Mus musculus: one gene and its partner. The protein of the gene in region 1 interacts with the protein of each later gene in a biochemical or structural test. Links are inferred from orthologs where the notes say so. Each region holds a gene or a part of one and is shown in the gene's direction. Other genes may lie near its edges.

The links. The genes of interacting proteins can lie anywhere in the genome.
Region 2: of the proteins of Mylip (region 1) and Ldlr, one has a biochemical effect on the other in vitro, tested with the Homo sapiens proteins (4 studies listed by BioGRID, with this or other methods). The link is inferred for Mus musculus from reciprocal best matches to the Homo sapiens genes MYLIP and LDLR.

The regions. Positions count from the first base shown.
Region 1 is NC_000079.6:45,388,037-45,393,039, forward strand, and holds the start of Mylip (E3 ubiquitin-protein ligase MYLIP), read left to right. Parts: upstream 1-1,705; 5' UTR 1,706-1,920; coding exon 1,921-2,007; intron 2,008-3,152; coding exon 3,153-3,343; intron 3,344-5,003. UniProt on the Homo sapiens protein: E3 ubiquitin-protein ligase that mediates ubiquitination and subsequent proteasomal degradation of myosin regulatory light chain (MRLC), LDLR, VLDLR and LRP8. Activity depends on E2 enzymes of the UBE2D family.
Region 2 is NC_000075.6:21,736,137-21,741,039, forward strand, and holds part of Ldlr (low-density lipoprotein receptor isoform 1 precursor), read left to right. Parts: intron 1-1,083; coding exon 1,084-1,206; intron 1,207-1,737; coding exon 1,738-1,857; intron 1,858-2,718; coding exon 2,719-2,844; intron 2,845-3,249; coding exon 3,250-3,421; intron 3,422-3,512; coding exon 3,513-3,737; intron 3,738-4,903.

The DNA.
Region 1 (5,003 bases):
ACCTGACATTTCCTTCGCTTCTACAAATTATTTAGCTGCTCATATTAAAAATATAAATATAGAATCATTTCTATGAAAGAAAGCCATTTAAAAAAAATCCTTGCCAAACCCCAAAGTAAGATAGTTTTAAAGATAGTTAAATAGAAATGTTTCTGTTTTTGTTTCTTGTCTTGTCTTTGTTTATTCTGTTTGTTTATTTTTGTTCTTCTTCAGCTCCTTTCTACTCCCAGTATCTAGGAATTTCCCCAAATCTGTCCCCTAAGTTCCCCCTTGTTTAAGCTGGTTAAGTTTTGGCCTTTCAAAAATATTAAGCAATACAACCAATTTCCATGTTGCCTCCTCTCCTTATGGTGAAATTTCCAGCGATGGGCCACAGATTAGATAATCTAAATGTTATCTCCCAGGTACACGTGCCAGACCTGCTTCCGGGAAGGAAAGGAATGAGCAGTAGACCGGTGGATGAATGCAAGCTTACACTGGACTTGGAGCAGTTCGAGAACTGTACCATGTGTTCCTGAAACACAAAGCCAAAAGACTGAACAGTTCTCTCCGCGAGGGCTCTGCTAAGATCCCAGTCCTTCTCCGATGTTTTCCCCATCGTCAGAAATAAATATCACTGAGCCCAAGTACGAGGTGCACCACCAGGTTGAGCTATACAGCAAGACTTCGTCTTAAACGCACAGCAAACAAACGGCACAGAGATAGGGTCATTGGCAGGCAGGGATGGCTAGATTGCTTCCCAGCGGTGCTGGGGCGAGGGGGGGCGGCTTGCAGGAGGGGGTGTCCAAAAATAGCTAGTCTCCATTCTGCGAGGACACTGAGCTTCAGAGAGATGGAGTTTTCCAAAGATCCAAGGCTGAAACCCATATCTCCCGGCTTATCTTAGAAACCAAAAAAGACAGTATAGGCCAAGAGAAACAGGTGGTAAAAATATGAAGGTTGTACACCTTTAACCACTAATCTCTTGTATTGAGATTCCCATCCTGCTAGGTCCTGAGATGAGCCTGTTATCTTTAAGATGGGGTAACATCTGGGTGTCTGAAAGAAAGGGCAGGGAGTGTACCAGGTGTATAGTGAACGAATTGGATGAGAGATAGGCTGGGTGACATAACTTGGTAAGGTGTTTCAATGTAGCAGAACCCACACATAGAAACCCTTGGCACGAGTTAATATAAGAATGGTGCTTGGATCAAATTACCGGCTTATATTGGGTCAGCTGCAAAAACTTTTCTACTTAGATTCTTCTTTTGACAACCCACGGTGGCAAATGCCAGCGGAAAAGCCTCTTCTTTAGGCTCTCTGTCTTGCTTGCTTCTCTTTTGGCTTTCACAAACCACCTGGTTATTAGAGTAACCCCACGCAGGAGTCCTGAGAACCGTAGTAGCAACGTAGCATCACAGGAGCCTTTGATCACAGTTCTCTCAAACCCGGACAGAAAGGCGTCCCCTGGAGCTGCGGGCGACAGCGGGCTGGGAGGAGCGTCGCCCAGTGGCAGAGGCCGCGACCGTGCTGGGGATTGGGGAGAGGATGGGCTCCCACCTCCCGCAGCTCCACAGGCGGTGCCGGGAGGCGGGGCTTCAGCCCACCGAGACTGGGAATTGGTTGCCGGAGCTGGGGAGGAGGGGCAAGCACGCTGTGATTGGCGGAGTCCGGTGCCGGAGGGGCGGGGCCTCTATAAAAGACGCGTGCCTGTAGCGGCGCAGGCAGTAGGGCTGTCGGAGCGGCGCGGCCGTGTAGCTCCCGGGAACTGGCTGTCGTGGGGGTGGCGGGGACGCGAGTGGCGGCTGCGTGGGGTGCAGGGCGGGTGGCCGCACGGCTGCACCTTCCTCACGGAGCCCGGAGTCGACTTGGAGCAATTGCGGTGAGGCGACAGCTCCGGCGCACACCCGAGAAGAAGCGGCGGTGGCGGCGGCCCCAGCCATGCTGTGCTATGTGACGAGGCCGGACGCGGTGCTGATGGAGGTAGAGGTGGAGGCAAAAGCCAACGGCGAGGACTGTCTCAACCAGGTGAGGGCGGCGATCGGAAAGGGGATCCCTTCTTGTCCCCGGGAAGCCTCGGGGCTCGGGGATGCTCCCCGGGAGCCGGGCGACGTTGCAGCAGCGGCCCGTGGAGTGCTCCCGGGACGCCAGGCTCCAGCCTCCTCCTCCTCCCCGCGAGTGGAGAGTGCGGTGGGGGGGGGGCGGGGGGAGCATAGAGGACGCTTACGGTGGGGGATCCGGGGCCCGGAGACCAGAACACTGCTGGGAACCTCCACCCTGTCCGTTAGCCTGGCACTTTTCTCTAAAGAAGGTGGCCCGGCACACCTGCCGCAGGTGTGTGTGTGTGTGATGCCTCCCGTGGAGTCCTTGCAAAGCCCGGCAGCGCCACCCGCGTCCCGGGATGAGATGGTTGCAAGCGGTCGCTGGCCCCGGGGCTCCCTAGCTGATCAGGTGGGCCCGAATCTCAAGCCGCTTCTCAGAAGGACTGTTCACCTGACACTCTAGGCTTGCTAGGGATCCAGAGTATATTGAGTAATTTGCGGGGGACGGTTCTGCAGGCAGCCTCCTTCTTGAGGGGTCTTTACACGTGTGTTTTCTTAAGGGTGACTAAGGCTCCTAACGGGGTGTGCCTAATGGATATTGGCAGGCCCATTTGACCCCTTGAAATACTGTGTCTACGAGACCTGTGGACCTGAGCTGTTTGGAAAGGCGCTTGTAAAGCTTAGCTGACACTTGTAGCATGCTTCCTCAATGCGTTTGTGTTTTTGGAATCCAGATGGTTAAAACTGTCCAGATAATACGCTGCCAAATCAGCTGTGCAGATGGTGCTGCGGGGCGGAGGGGGGGGGTGGCGGGGGGAATTCCAGCGATTGGAATAAGAAATAAAACACCCTGTGTGTTCTTCTACCTCAGCCTTTTGGGAAGTCTGTTTTGGGGGGACCCCTTTCCCTGTGCCATTGGTCAGACCCTAGAAATAGTCAAGCAAGGCCAAGCCTCCACTGGAGGGCTGCGTTTTGGCTTTGCTGTTTCCTTAAAACCTTGTTTTTCCGGTCGGTCTACCAACTGGCATTGCAAGAAGGTAGAACTTTGGGAAAGCAGGGGCCAGTCCTCTCCTCGGATGGAGCCCTTAGGTTTGCACTGCTCACACCCCATACCTTTGGTTTTGTTTTTAGGTGTGCAGGCGTCTAGGGATCATCGAGGTTGATTATTTTGGGCTGCAGTTCACGGGGAGCAAAGGTGAGAGCTTATGGCTGAATCTGAGAAACCGGATCTCCCAGCAGATGGATGGGCTGGCACCTTACCGCCTTAAACTGAGGGTCAAGTTCTTTGTGGAGCCTCATCTCATCTTACAGGAGCAGACAAGGTAAAGCGAGGCCGAAACAAACCAATGTCAAGTACACCTCAGATTCCATTTAGTGGTAGCTATCGTGCCCTCCCGGAGATGTTCCCTGGCAAAATTGACTTGGTGCAAAGGAAGTTCAGGAAAAATTCAAGTTTTCCAAAGCACAGTTGGCCTGGGTGGGTTTTTCAACACTTGGTTTTTTGTTTTGTTTTGTTTTTGTTTTTCCTGTTCTGTATAATATTAGTGGGAGAGGCAGGGTTGACTTCTTACAAACAAAAAGAAAACCAACTTCCTGACAGCTTCATCTAACGCCCGCTAGTAACCCCGCCTCAGCAGTGTTACTACAGGTCACTGTAGACCGTTCTAGCGGAAAGCAGGAAACAGTTCCTCTTGGGTTACTTAAACTTGGTCAGTCCTCAGCCTAAGTGTCAGATTACAGTGTGTAGCAGGAGCGGCTCTGTCTGGCCTCCTACAGATTTTAAAACTTTTTTAAGTTTCACAAAATCTTAATAAAAGAACTCTTTGAGGGGCCACTGTAAAGTAAATTTCAGCCTACAGATTTATTAAAAATGATTGTTGGACATGTGTTGTTGTTTTTTTCCTCCTTGTTAAACTAAGGGCCACCAGCCATGGTAGACAACCGAAGCCTGTGGGTGTGGTCTCCTTTTCAAACGACCAAAATACACACACACATACCCGGTACGTTTCCCTCTGAGCTGACTATATAATACTTTTCTCAAAGATGAACCAAAATAGGAAGGTGATGTTTAATATTTATTACCAAAATGCAAGAGACTACAGTGGCGTGTGGAAAAAAGGAAAATGATTGCTTTGAAAGCCACAGCAAACTTTGGATCCCAGCACTGATGTTTTCCATACTCCTGTGGCTTGGCAATGGGCCACGCATGTGAAACACGTGATCCTGCAGATTTCGACTCCTAATGGGGAACAGGCTCTTCTGAGAGGGTTTAACTTACCACTTTTTTTTATTTACTAAACAAGCGATGGAAACATTAAAAACTACCATCCATTTGGATTTGGAATGTCCACTTTGCCTGCCTTGCTGTGGCCTTTTAAAGGTTGAGAGAGATTTTGTTTATGAAGGAACCTGGCATAAGAAATTTTTACTGTTTCTGAAAATACCTTACAAATATTCATGTAGTGGCATACTTACAGATGCTGAACTGTCTGTATTAACCACAAGAGGCTCTGTCCTTTTTTAAAAACATTTACTCAGTGTCTCTGTGTACTTGTGTATGTGTGGAGGTAAGAGGACAGCTTTCAGAAGCCTCTTCTCTCCCTCTACTGTGTTGGACCTGGAGTCTGAACTCTGGTTGTCAGGCTCAGCAGCAAACATCTGAACCATCTCACTGGCCCATAGACAGATAGACAGATGGACAGACCGACCAAACTAGTTTGTGAAAGCTTCCTCAGTTCAGTCAATGAGAAAAATGCATGACAGCATTTATTTGTGTGTGTGTGTGTGTGTGTGTGTGTGTGTGTGTGTGTGCGTGCGTGTGTGTAGCAGTCACATTGTGATGCTACAGTGATTTCAGGGCTTCCAGGTGCAACCCAATTCTAGTGACATAAATTTATTTTTGAAATCAGCCAAAAGGTGAGGAAGCAAATAATTTCATTTAAGTAGTGGAAGGATAATAGCAAATGAATTGTATCGGGAATG
Region 2 (4,903 bases), on another chromosome or scaffold:
CTGAAGGTCCTGAGTTCAAATCCCAGCAACCACATGGTGGCTCACAACCACCCGTAATGAGATCTGCCGCCCTCTTCTGGCGTGTCTGAAGTCAGCTACAGTGTACTTACATATAATAATAAATAAATCTTAAAAAAAACAAAAAACAAAAAACGATATGGTCTGGGGCTGAGCCATTGGTAGAGTGCTCGCCTCACATGAACCTGTGTGGTGACACACGCCTGTAACCCCAGCGTTCGGGAGGTGCAGGCTGGAGGTCAAGGCCAGCCTTGCTTACACTGAATCTGAGAACAGCTCTCATAAAAAAAAAAAAAAACAACAACAACAATAAAGCACATTTCTTTTTTTTTTTCTTTTTTTAAATGTTAGGTTTTTGCTGTTTGTTCTTTTGTGCTGAACTCAGGGCTTCCCATTGCTAGGCTGAGTTACTTGTTGCTTTTGCCTGCTCAATGCCATGCTGGGCATGGTGGTAGAGGTCTATAGTTCCAGCAATCTGGAGCCTGAGATAGGAAGCAAACACACTTGCACCAGCCTGGACCATGGCGAGACCTCTATATAAGAAACCCAACTCAGCCAAAAACAGTCTTTGCAGCCGTCTGTCTGTCGCTGAGCTCTCTCTCATGCAGAGTCTAAACAAACTCTCCTCCCATTAAACATTAACTTCCTGTCTGCCTGCCAAGCAAGCAGCTCCCAGTAACCCAGGGACCTGTCTCAGTGACAGAGCACTTGTCTACCCACTCAAGGCCCTGGGTCTCCTGCAGAGAATAAAAAGCAAAACACCCCTGGGAAATTATTTACAGCAGGCATGGTGGGACAACCCTGTAATCCCAGGGTTTGGGAGCTGAGGCAGGAGGGTCTCCTTGATGTCCAGTATTGTGGACTATAATTCAAGACCAGTAAGGCTACAAAGTGAGACTTCGGGCAGGGCTACCCAATGGCAGGCCCCCAGCCCCTCCCTCACTGGGGAACTCTAGGCAGGGGTTGGAGCACTGAGCCACACACTCCAGCGCTGAAGTGTAATCTTACCGCGAGCAGGCAAACCCTGTAGCTCAGGCCCTCCTGACTGTTCTTTGCCTCTCACAGTGACACAGTGTGATGGCCCCAACAAGTTCAAGTGTCACAGTGGGGAGTGCATCAGCTTGGACAAGGTGTGCGACTCCGCCCGCGACTGCCAGGACTGGTCGGATGAGCCCATCAAGGAGTGCAGTGAGTGTTGGGGAGCCGGGGATAGCATCAGTGTGTAGTCACTGTGGGGCTGTGAGCCCAGCCAGCGCCCCCGCAGCATGTAAAAGGCTCGCTGTGCATCATAGATGTGACAGAGCTTTGGCTCCAGGGCAGGACAGGCATGGGAGGCAGGGGTGGCTGGGAGATGCAGCCTGGATTCAGATCCCTGGCACTTATATAAATACATTCTTCGTCTGGAGATGGCTTAGCACCTAAGAGCACTGGCTGTTCTTCCAGAGGACTCAAGTCTGGTTCCCAGAACCTAAGTCAGGTGGCTCAGAATCGCCTGTAACTCTAGCTACAGGGGGGATCCATCTCTTGGCTTCCGGTGCCTCTGGCTTCTGAGGTCATCTGTTCTCACAGTCACATGCAGACACGCTTATACACATGATTAAAAATAATAAAAATGAATGATCTTCCAAGTGTTTTGCGAAGGCAGTGCAGTAGCGTAGTGTTCCCCGTGGAAAGTGTACGGCGCTAGGACAGCCAGTCTGCTTTCTCAATCCCACGCAGAGACCAACGAGTGTTTGGACAACAATGGTGGCTGTTCCCACATCTGCAAGGACCTCAAGATTGGCTCTGAGTGCCTGTGTCCCAGCGGCTTCCGGTTGGTGGACCTCCACAGGTGTGAAGGTGAGTCTGCAGCACATTCAGCCACCCAGTGAACCCGTGCCTCAGTTTCCCCATGTGCTCAGTGGCCAGGAGTGCAGTCCCCACTGCTTAGGGCTCTTAGGAGAGTTCCAGGGGTGAACACTGGGTCCTGGCCTGACTGTTAAGAGCAAAGTGTATCAATGGCAGGTCCTGCCTTTGGGGATCCTCATCACGAATCGAGGTTCCAGCTCGAGCAAGGGCTCCGTTGCTAGAACTCTTGCCTTACAGGTAGCTCTGGATTCTGTCCCCAGTGCATCGCAACCTAGCCTGGTGGCCCACACAGGTAGTTCTAATGCTTGGGATGTGTCAGCAATAGGAACAGAAGTTCAATGTCTTCTATGTAGCAAGTTCAAGGCCAGCTTGGACTGTGTGAAATGTCTCAGAAAAAAGAGTTCAAATGTGGTGCAAAACTCCTTTAAACCCAGCACTTGAGAGACAGAGGCAAGCAGATTTCTGAGTTCACGGATAGGGTGGTCTCCATGGTCAGTTTGGGCCCACTAGGGCTACATACAAAGACAAACAATAAAAAAAAATAACAGAAAAACAACCAAAAATGGAAAAAAAATAAAGAAGGGAAGGAAAGGTGGCTGGAAGATTCCCACTGGAGGTGAGTGACAGGGTCCAGGTCCTGTGAGGGTGGTGTCCCTTAGCCACTGGAGGTGAGTGACAGGGTCCAGGTCCTGTGAGGGTGGTGTCCCTTAGCCATTGGAGGTGAGTGACAGGGTCTTGTGAGGGTGGCATCCTTTAGCCACTGGAGGATACATGTTTTGTTCTCCTGTTGTCCTGTAGAAAGGGTTCCTCTCCCCTAGACGAAACCCTTTCTCTGTCCCCATGCACACACAGATATTGACGAGTGTCAGGAGCCAGACACCTGCAGCCAGCTCTGTGTGAACCTGGAAGGCAGCTACAAGTGTGAGTGCCAGGCCGGCTTCCACATGGACCCACACACCAGGGTCTGCAAGGCTGTGGGTGAGTGCTGGGCTGCCGGCCAAGGTGGGCTGGGCTGCCAGCTGAGGGGGGCTGGGCTGCCGGCCGAGGGGGGTGGCTGGGCAGCTCCTCCCTGGGGCTCAGAACTGCCATGACTTTCCCTAGTTGGGTATGGCATCTCTCTAGGATTCTGGCTGGTGGCGGAGGTGTACAGTAGGGACCTGCCTTCACCCATATCTATCCTTCCCAGAACTCTACCTGCCCTGCTTCCCATCCAGACAGGGTGGGAGATAGGAAGAGGCACAAAGTGTGACCTGAGCCCGTTACCTCCCTAGTTAAGCTTACTAGAGAAATGGGTTCCAGGGGCTGGGGCTTGTAGGCAGAGTTCTTGCCTGGCATCCATGAAACCCTGGCTTCCATCTCTCATCACCCTGCGTGGCTTTCCAGGCTCCATAGGCTATCTGCTCTTCACCAACCGCCACGAGGTCCGGAAGATGACCCTGGACCGCAGCGAGTACACCAGTCTGCTCCCCAACCTGAAGAATGTGGTGGCTCTCGACACGGAGGTGACCAACAATAGAATCTACTGGTCCGACCTGTCCCAAAAAAAGATCTACAGGTGAGCTGCAGCCCCGTCACCCTTTTGACAGTCTGTCCCCTAGGGAGGCCCTGACCCCAGGCTCTATTGTGACCCCTTTCTTCTGCCTCAGCGCCCTGATGGACCAGGCCCCTAACTTGTCCTACGACACCATCATCAGTGAGGACCTGCATGCCCCTGACGGGCTGGCGGTAGACTGGATCCACCGCAACATCTACTGGACAGATTCAGTCCCAGGCAGCGTATCTGTGGCTGACACCAAGGGCGTAAAGAGGAGGACACTGTTCCAAGAGGCAGGGTCCAGACCCAGAGCCATCGTAGTGGACCCTGTGCATGGGTGAGTGTCCAAAGAGCTGGACAAGGGGATGACCCAAGGTGGGGGATCCAGAGCTGGGCTCAGGAGAATGTGAGATGGTCCTGAGCTCAGGGGAGACGGTGGATAGAGGCTGGGGTGTCGGTGATAGACCAAGAAAGCAGCATGGTGGCTTGGACCTGAACCCCAGTCCTGAGTTACAGGCTAGCTCGGGTTGCAAAGTGAGCTCCTAGTTCCAAAAAAAAAAAAAAAACAAAAAAACAAAACAATCAAACTAGAGGCTTAGCAAGGGCCCAGGGTATCTGATGCCTCTGGCCTCATCAGGCATGGCAATTAAAAATGATTTTTGTGTGTGTGTGTGTGTGTGTGTGTGTGTGTGTGTGTGTGGTGGTGGTGGTGGGGTTGTCCTGAGACTTGCTTTGTATAGCAAGCTGGCCTTGAACTCAGAGATCTGCCTGCCTCAGCCTCCCAAGTTCTGGGTTAAAAGAATGCACGTGGTCACGCATTGTGGTGACCAGAGGAGGAGGTTAAAGATAAAGTGTGCTGGAAGCCACTGCGGCCTGGCAGAATAAAATCTTAGAAACAAAACCAAACCTGGCTCAGTGGACAGAGCCCTGAAGTCTGACAACCTGTGTTTAATCTCAGGGACACATGGAGTCGAAGGAGAGAACCGAGCCCCCAAATGTTGCATGAGTACATGTTCACGCGTGCTCGTGCAGTGGGTGAATCAGTGTTGAGTAAGGTGCTGGGTGTGTGCTGCATTCGGTAGGGAGCTTTCGTAACTGCGGGAAGCCCCGGGTTCTGCCTCAGAACCCCATGAAGCAGGCGTGGTCACGCATTGTGGTGACCAGAGGAGGAGGTTAAAGATAAAGTGTGCTGGAAGCCAACTAAGACTCGGTCAAAAACAGTGTCCTAGCCTGGCGATGGGCACAGTGGTGCAGGAGGCTCTGCGTTCCACCCCCAGTACAAGAAAGAAAGAGGGGGCTGGTAAGATGGCTCAGCGGTTAAGAGCACTGACTGCTCTTCTGAAGGTCCTGAGTTCAAATCCCAGCAACCACATGGTGGCTCACAACCATCTGTAACAAGATCTGATGCCCTCTTCCAGAGTATCTGAGGACACCTACAGTGTACTCACATTAAATAAATAAATCTTAAAAAAAAAAAAAAAAAAAAAAAAAAAGCCGGGCGGT